Struthio camelus: one gene and its partner. The protein of the gene in region 1 purifies or fractionates together with the protein of each later gene. This does not show direct contact. Links are inferred from orthologs where the notes say so. Each region holds a gene or a part of one and is shown in the gene's direction. Other genes may lie near its edges.

What was found. The genes of interacting proteins can lie anywhere in the genome.
Region 2: the proteins of BACH1 (region 1) and MAFK purify together in Homo sapiens (affinity purification with mass spectrometry; 6 studies listed by BioGRID and IntAct, counting the BioPlex papers as one, with this or other methods). This does not show direct contact. The link is inferred for Struthio camelus from reciprocal best matches to the Homo sapiens genes BACH1 and MAFK.

What each region holds. Positions count from the first base shown.
Region 1 is NC_090942.1:118,936,389-118,940,134, forward strand, and holds the start of BACH1 (transcription regulator protein BACH1), read left to right. Parts: upstream 1-919; 5' UTR 920-1,157; intron 1,158-2,683; exon of another isoform or gene 2,684-2,736; intron 2,737-3,746. UniProt on the Homo sapiens protein: Transcriptional regulator that acts as a repressor or activator, depending on the context. Binds to NF-E2 DNA binding sites. Plays important roles in coordinating transcription activation and repression by MAFK.
Region 2 is NC_090956.1:6,858,135-6,861,880, reverse strand, and holds the start of MAFK (transcription factor MafK), read left to right. Parts: upstream 1-937; 5' UTR 938-1,297; coding exon 1,298-1,385; exon of another isoform or gene 1,386-1,395; coding exon of another isoform or gene 1,396-1,411; intron 1,412-2,192; exon of another isoform or gene 2,193-2,430; intron 2,431-3,396; coding exon 3,397-3,476; intron 3,477-3,746. UniProt on the Homo sapiens protein: Since they lack a putative transactivation domain, the small Mafs behave as transcriptional repressors when they dimerize among themselves.

The sequences.
Region 1 (3,746 bases):
TACACTGCTTTCTAAGATATCCCTAAAAGAGCTTACGCTGAATTGGTACATGTACCTGGCATCGCACAAAAATACTAGGCAAGACTGGAAAACAGTATGTTTTCCAGGAGGAAGCTATGTTCACACAGCACCCAGCATCCTAGTCTGCTTTTCAAAAGGCCTACTAGCTCAACGGTAATATCACACTGTTTTCGTTTCTAGCATTAGTTTGTCCGTTGCTAACTGAAGGCTATCTCTTCACGTCAACTTGCTCCACGATGTTTTCTGCCTTACTTGACATCTTATCTCCTCCTACATAGCACAGCACAGACCACGATAGCTGGTTGAAAAATCAGGCCTAAACTAGGAAAGGTCTCTCAGTGGGACACTTCCAGCAACTCGTCCTCGTATCAGCACAGCTCCCACTATCAGAAAGTGTTTTAGCCAAGCTCAGCAAGTAAACAAATTATACCAGCAAAAACACCCTCAGGCCGCTATCTCTGCCAAACGCTTGACTGACATTCCCTAGCGTAGAAACGTTAAAAATCGCATTGCCAACCAAGACTCCTAAGCGGTAGCATTTCCCAACACAGACCTCCAGCCGCACGCCTAAAACAAGTAAGAGTTTTCCACCTGCGAAACACAAGCACCCGGGCTCTCCCCGTGAGAGGCGGCACACGAGGCGACCGCCACTGCCCGCCGGTGGGGGCACCGCGCCCAGCGCCCCCCCTCTCCGACTCCCCCAACGGCCGCTAACGGCCGCCCTCAGGAGGGAGCGGGGGGGAGGGGAGGGAAGGGGCGGCGGCAGGGCCCGGCGCTGCCCCGGGGCGCGGGCCGCCGCCAAGCCGCCGGTGGCAGCGCGCAGGCGCGGGGCGCGGCGCTGTGGGCGGCTGCGCGTCGGTGGGGAGCGCCGCGTCCAATCAGCGGGCGGGGTGTGGAAGGGGAAGGCGGGGGGAAGGGTGGGGGGGAGGAACGGGGCGGCAAGGCGAGTAATGTTGTTGGGAGTCACCTGACTGCTCTCGCCGCAGTCGGGCCGCAGCCTCTGTGGCAGGAACAGCCGAGTCAGGGGGAGCGGGAGGAGGAGGAAGGCGGTGAAGGCGGCTGCCGTCCGGCCACCGGCCGGCCCGCGGGTGACGGTGTCCGCGCGGAGGGGTGGCGGCGCGGCGGAAGGTGCTGAGGTGAGAGGCGCGGGGCGGGGGGGAGAGAAGGCGCGCGCGCGGCCGCTCGGTGTCCGTTGGGACCGGCCGTTGGGCTGAAGGGGGGGGGGGCGCGAGGGAAGCACCATTCCGACGGAGGAGGGGGGGGAAGCGGAGGAGGCTGCGGCATGTTTACAGGGGCGGTGTTATTCATGTGTCCCTCTTCCCCCCCCCCCCCCACCCTCCTCCGGCGGTCGGAGTAGTGGCCGGTCCCGCGGCGGGGCAGGCGGGCGGCCGCTGTCGGAGGCTGGGTCCCGCGGTGGGGAGGACGTCAGGCCGGAGCAGGGCGGGGGGGGAGCCGAGCGGCGGCGGCGGCGTCCTGCCTGCGTCGGGCACCGGGCGGCGGCCTTGCCCCTCCCCCCTTCCCCGCTCCCTAGTGTCATGTCTTCGGGTATTTTACACCCCCCCCCCCCCCGAAGTCCGACTTGGCGCTGCGCCAGATGCCTCTGTGCTTTGGGCACGAGCTTTTAGTCGTTATTCAGCGTCTCCTGCGGGTTTCAGTGGGTGCCCAAGTGCCCGTGCGCTCCGGTAACACAGGCGTGACTCTCCCAGTCTGCGCTCGCCAGCCTTGTGTGAAAGGGGCAACTCTACAGCGCTGGAAATCCCAGCGGTGACTGTGTTTTGCTTAGGTGAAACACGCATCATATGTGTTTGGAAGGCTGGGAAAGATTTATTTTAGACTATAAACAAAGAGATATAAATCCTGTCTGTCTTGTTCTGTACTGTGAAATCCTTGGCATGCTTTGGAAATGTTGAAAATGAAGTAATTAGAAAAGCAGGTGATGATGCATTTACATCACATTCTGTTTACATTCTCCATTTTTAGTATGTTAATACCACAGTAATCCTAAATACATGCACAACCGGGACCTCAGAAACACGTGTTGAATATATAGTTAAAAAAAAAAAAAGGAAGGTAAACATTGCAGCAATCAAAGATAACTATATACATATAATATGTATACGATCCTATAGTAATTCTTGCAAGAGGTCTTAATTTGAGGCACATCAGATAGGTGCATGGAAAATGTTTGATTGTAGTAGTGGAGTATTTGTAATACAGCAGGAAGAAACACTGTAAATTAAGGTTACACAGCACAATGAATGCTCTAGTAATATAGTCTTTTATCGCAGAATATTACACCATACTGAAGAGAAAACAAATGAGAATCACCCAACCAAGCATAGTGAGTCCAAATTAAAGCTGCTTAGATAATCCAAATTTTGTTTTATGGCTTATGAGCTTAACTTTAAAGGTGATTCAATCAGCATAGTTCCTCTTGTACTCCCTTACATATGTGAGTGAAGCTGTGTGTGTAATAGCACATAGTAAGACCCCAAAAATAGTAGATTTACAGAGAGAAACTGTTGTTGCTGAAAACAGACTATCCGCGTTGTATGTGCTTTTGGAAGGCTTTACTTCAGGTTAGCTCTAATGGATCACTTAGTATTTGTACTTCCTTAGATGTACTTCTGGAGTACGTTTTCCAGTTTCTTTTTATCCACAGAGAACCTGTTTTGTTCTAGTCCAAGACCATCCTGTGAAGTGAATAGAATTATAGTAAGTAGGATGTTTGGGGGAAACGTGCTTTAGAAATGCTCTTCTGATTGACTGAAACTCTAATACAGAAGTTCACATAGCATCTACTGTCAATATTTTATGTTGAGAGTGAGTCTGTATGTGTGTATATATATATAAAGTAATTTTGAGTATAAATTGTGTATTTTATACTCAAAAATGTGCAAGATCTTGGAGTAATAAATATTGATTTGCTTAATAGGTTCTAAAATCCTTGTACTAAACATATTTTGATCAGTAGTAATCTTAATAAAGTAGAAAATATATGGATTTGATTATGTCTGTGAAAGTCAGCACATTAATCTGTCATTACTTTCTGCTATTAGAATTGTCTCATATTAAAAACTATACCCTTTGCATTCATTTAGATGTAGCACTATCATTGGGCGTAGACTAAAAATGTCTGTGGGGGTAGAATAGAGGTTGCCTCATATATCAGGTGTGTGAGTCCCAGATAACTTTGCCCTATAGCTTTAGGAAAATATAACTCAAGAGTCTTTATTCTCCCCCCTCTCGTTTCTATAAAATGAGAAGCGCTCTGATAAACTCCTCATAGGTTTCCTGGTAGTCGTAGACCTGTCTTTCTCAATGCACTGGGCATGTTGGTGTGAGAGGGAGGCATGGTAGATTGGTCAAAGGATTTAGGTATATGTGAGTGCTGACATTTTAGTTGTCAGAGTTCTACTGCTGAAAGGTTCATGACGAAGTTTTAGGGACTGAAATATCCTATGTGGTATTTATCTTTATAGCATGAGTGCTGTAAAGGGTTAACTTAGGGTTATATGCAACCCTAAGTTAAGCTATAGTTAATGTTAGTTGATGTCTATCCACTTCTGCGAAATCTCAAGTAAGCGGAAAAATAGCTGCTGAAGCAGCTATTAAGTTGTGTGAATTCAGCCTGGTATGACCTAAGTACCAATAATACATTAGGACCCCTCTGCAGCTCCCCCTTTCCCTTCAGCTCAGAGATTAACAAGTTGAGGGGACGGAGG
Region 2 (3,746 bases), on another chromosome or scaffold:
AGTAAGCTGACCGAGGCCACGCGGGATTGTCAGCGAGGATTTGCAAGTGGTGGTGTATCAGTTTTGCGTTAAGCTCAGACCACGCCTGCAGGTTCACCTAGTGCAGAGGTAAGCCTCACCCTGGCATTCACGTTTGAGTGAGGAACTTAAGCCCATTTGAAGCATTCCTGCTTGCACTACCAAATTCTGCCCCTAAGAGTGGGGGTGACCCCCATCCCGCTCGCATGTGAAGATGGCCAGACATCGTAATTACTGGTGGTGGCTTAAATTCCTTCCTCGTGTCTGTGCCAGGAAGGGCTCTGGCATCTCGCCCCAATGCAATAGGATTGATCCCAACCCGTTTTAGAGGGAAGCCAGTCTGTTTAGAGCGCTTCGATATGCAAGGAAAGCAATACGTAAAGCACAAGACCCCTGTTAATTCGGGTACCAACCGTGCACTCGTACCAAATGTGAAGGAGTCTGTGTTGTCCGCGGAGGAATGTGCAGTGTAAGGAGATGTTGCTTTGGCGACACAGAGCAACAGGTGACCAGAAGTGGATTCATCACGTGGAGTCGGAGCAGCTTATTAACGCGGCGGCAGCGGCGTTGCTTTGGGTGGCAGGCGAGCCCAGACAGTGACCCCCACCGGAGGGAATCTCAACCCTCGGCACTTGTTTTCCACAATATTTTACGTTTCTTTCCATCTCTGTGCAGCCAAGCGGTCTGTTCAGTTTTTCCATCGGCTGGTGTAGAAAGTGCTTTGAAGACACATTGGGTGAGGATCAAAAGGCTTTTTGTGTAATCAGTGGGTGTGACCGGTCTGTCCTCGGCCTCCCCCTCCTTTTTGACTTTCCTTTTCCGGTTTAACTGCGCGAAGTGCCGCCAGTGGGACTGTAGTGTGCCCCTTTCCTTGTAGGGATGGGGGTGGCGAGGGAGGGGGGATGCCGGGGGAAGGAAGAGTTTCTGATGCTGTGGGAATGTGAGCTCTCAAACTCTGTAAACAGCTGGTGACTCACTGCATAACTATGGCACCAACTGCCTGCAAGGCCCGCGGCGCTGTGCGTGTGTAGGGAGGGGGCTGCAGGCCGTTTCCTTTACGCACTGGCAGCGCTCTGCTCTCCTTAGCTTGCTGGGACCGTTTGGCCAAGACAACGAGCTTTTCCTTCCTCCTTTGTGCTAGTGCGTGCGTTTGTGTGTGCTTCTGGCTTGGAGGTAGGGGCGGGCGGTGAATACCAAGTGTGAAGGGGAAGCAATGGAGAGGAGGACGGTGAAAGGGCAGCGCTGAGATCTGAAAAGGCGCCCGTCTGCGTGCGCTCTCATGGGAGAGCGTTTCTGTCTGCCATCGACTCCAGTGCGAGATACGCAGTTTTGCAGCAGCCAGAGGTCAGAGGTGGCCTCTCCCTTCGGTAACTGAGGATGCTTTCGTGGGCAGGTGGGGGCTGTGCTAACAGCGAGGGACTGGGTTTTGCGCTGGGTGCTCTCCTTCCCTCTGCCAAGCCTGCTCCTGCTGCCGTGGTGGAGGCAAGGGCTCCTGGAAGTGGGCCCAGGGTGGGGTTTGATACTGGAGGAGGGATGGGAAGGACTCTGTGTGATGCTCTAGAAAATGCAGCGCACACCAGTTGCTGTAAGTGGTCCATTCATCACAAAGCATCTTGGCTGGTGTGCTGTGCGGCTGTCCTTGTCCCTCCTCCAGCAGGCATGGAAAGCTGTGCTGTCTCAGGCTTAAAAATAGAGGAGGTGCCTAAATACACACCCTAATATCTAGGATAGTATCTTGTAGCTTCGCATTTATGGGATTTGTTTTTTTTTTCCCCCTCTTTATCCTGATTTTTCTGCAAGTCATATGACAATGAGGTGTCTTGACTGATAAAATTCAAGCGAGAGCAACGCAAGCTGAGCCAGCACCTTTACCCGCATGGCTCTCTGTTGTTCCCACACCCCACCTTTGTCCCCCCCCCCCCCACCCCCCAAGTCCCTCCACCCCTTGTTTGCAGATATGAATGAGTTTGTTTACTCTCTGACGACCTCGTGATGTCTTTGCACAGACATGACCTGAAGTCATTATTGCTTTTGGGCTTCTCTGTTTCCATGGTGACTGTCTCAGGGTTGGCTACTTTCCCAAGGTCACCATGGCAACTATCAGAAGGGAATCATGCTTGGGATGCTTTGGCTGGATTTTTCATGAATGATTAGAATGTGTGACACGATGCAGACGTGGGAATGGGGAGGGTGTGGGGTGGGGTGGGGGGAGAGGACTCCCGCCAGACAGGCTGTGCGCTCTGCAGTGCCACTGGGTGTGCAGCCCTTGAAGCCGCCACGGCTGTGCGTAGGGGGCACCGGCGTGGTGTGGGAGCCAGTGCCTCGCGCCCTCCCTGCAGGGGTAGCCGAGATGCTGGGGGAGCGATAAGCAGAGGCTGTGATGGAGTCACAGCTGCAGTCGTCTCTCTCGTGGTAGGTACCTGACAGACAGCAGCGCTGCCAGGCTCATCCTTGGCACTTCGGTGGGGTGAAGATTTCGGATGGAGGTCTAGGCAGGTAGATTTTCTCCAAAGCGCTGGTCGAAGGGGTGTAGTTGCCAGCTAAGGTGAGAGTGAAGGGCAGCGTCTCGACAGAGGACGGTCTGTCTGTCGGTGGACATGCCTCCACGTCACAAGAAATATCAGGCAGGCTAGCTCTAGCAGCCTGTGGGCTGAGAGGATCATGAAGCAACAGCCTTGGTGTGCTGGGAGAGGCAAACACCTGCCTTGCTTTGTTATCTGGGGGCTTTCGTTTCTGCTGTTCGGGTTTTCTAGTAGCGTCTCTTTTGGGTGGGGATGGCTGTGAAAGCAGGTTACAAACTAGGCAGCTTATTTCTGGGCTGCTGATTCAATTTGAGGCTAGGTTAATAATAATCAAAATAAGAATGAAGGGAGTTGTTGTCTTGTGGCTTTTCAATGCCCTTTATGAGCAGAGGTAAGTCTTAATTCAGTCCCTAATAGACCATTCTGTGTGTCTGGGATTCCTCCAGAAGGAGATGAACAACTGATTGGGCCTGGGAGGCTGAACTCTGCTCTCCCCCTCAGAAGAGGTGGCATGTTGCAAGGTAGTATGCAGTTATTAGCATAACTGTTGTTTACAGGCAGGAGCAAGTACCCTTTTTGCCCTCCCAGTCCCATCTTCCTTGCTTGATCTTGGTGTACTTAAAAACAAAATATTAGATATTTAGCATTAAAAAGCAGGGCACTTGTCAATGCACGTTTCCCCTTCTTTCTGAAGGGGGTAAACTAATCTCTGAATCCTTCCCAGGATTTTAAACAGTTGTGTGATGTTTCTTTCAATGATGCTTTAGAGTTGGGGATTTGGAGTGTGTGTTGGTATCGTTTTCCTACTGTTATCTCTGAGATTATGATAACCTGAAAATCTTGTTTTGTTTTTCAGTTGCAATTTCTGAGCAGTTCTGTCCAGAAGACTGTGCTCAGGTTATGACGACTAATCCCAAACCGAACAAGGCATTAAAGGTAGGGAGAAAGGCTGAGTGGGTGATGCTGGGTGGCAGGGGAAGGTGTCAAGGAACCATATTCCATGTGAAGACTGTCACATGTGTTCCCCCCCCCCCCCCCCCCCCTTTGGAGAGACTCTTGCAAATGGGTGCCAATATAATTTCTCACTATCTACAGGAAAGTTCTTGAGAAGATAGGATAGAGAAATACTGGTGATATCTAGAAAGAAGTCTGGCGAGTATGGGATTGCATCAAGGCTAGAGTATCCCAGTTGTTACCCAAGAGACT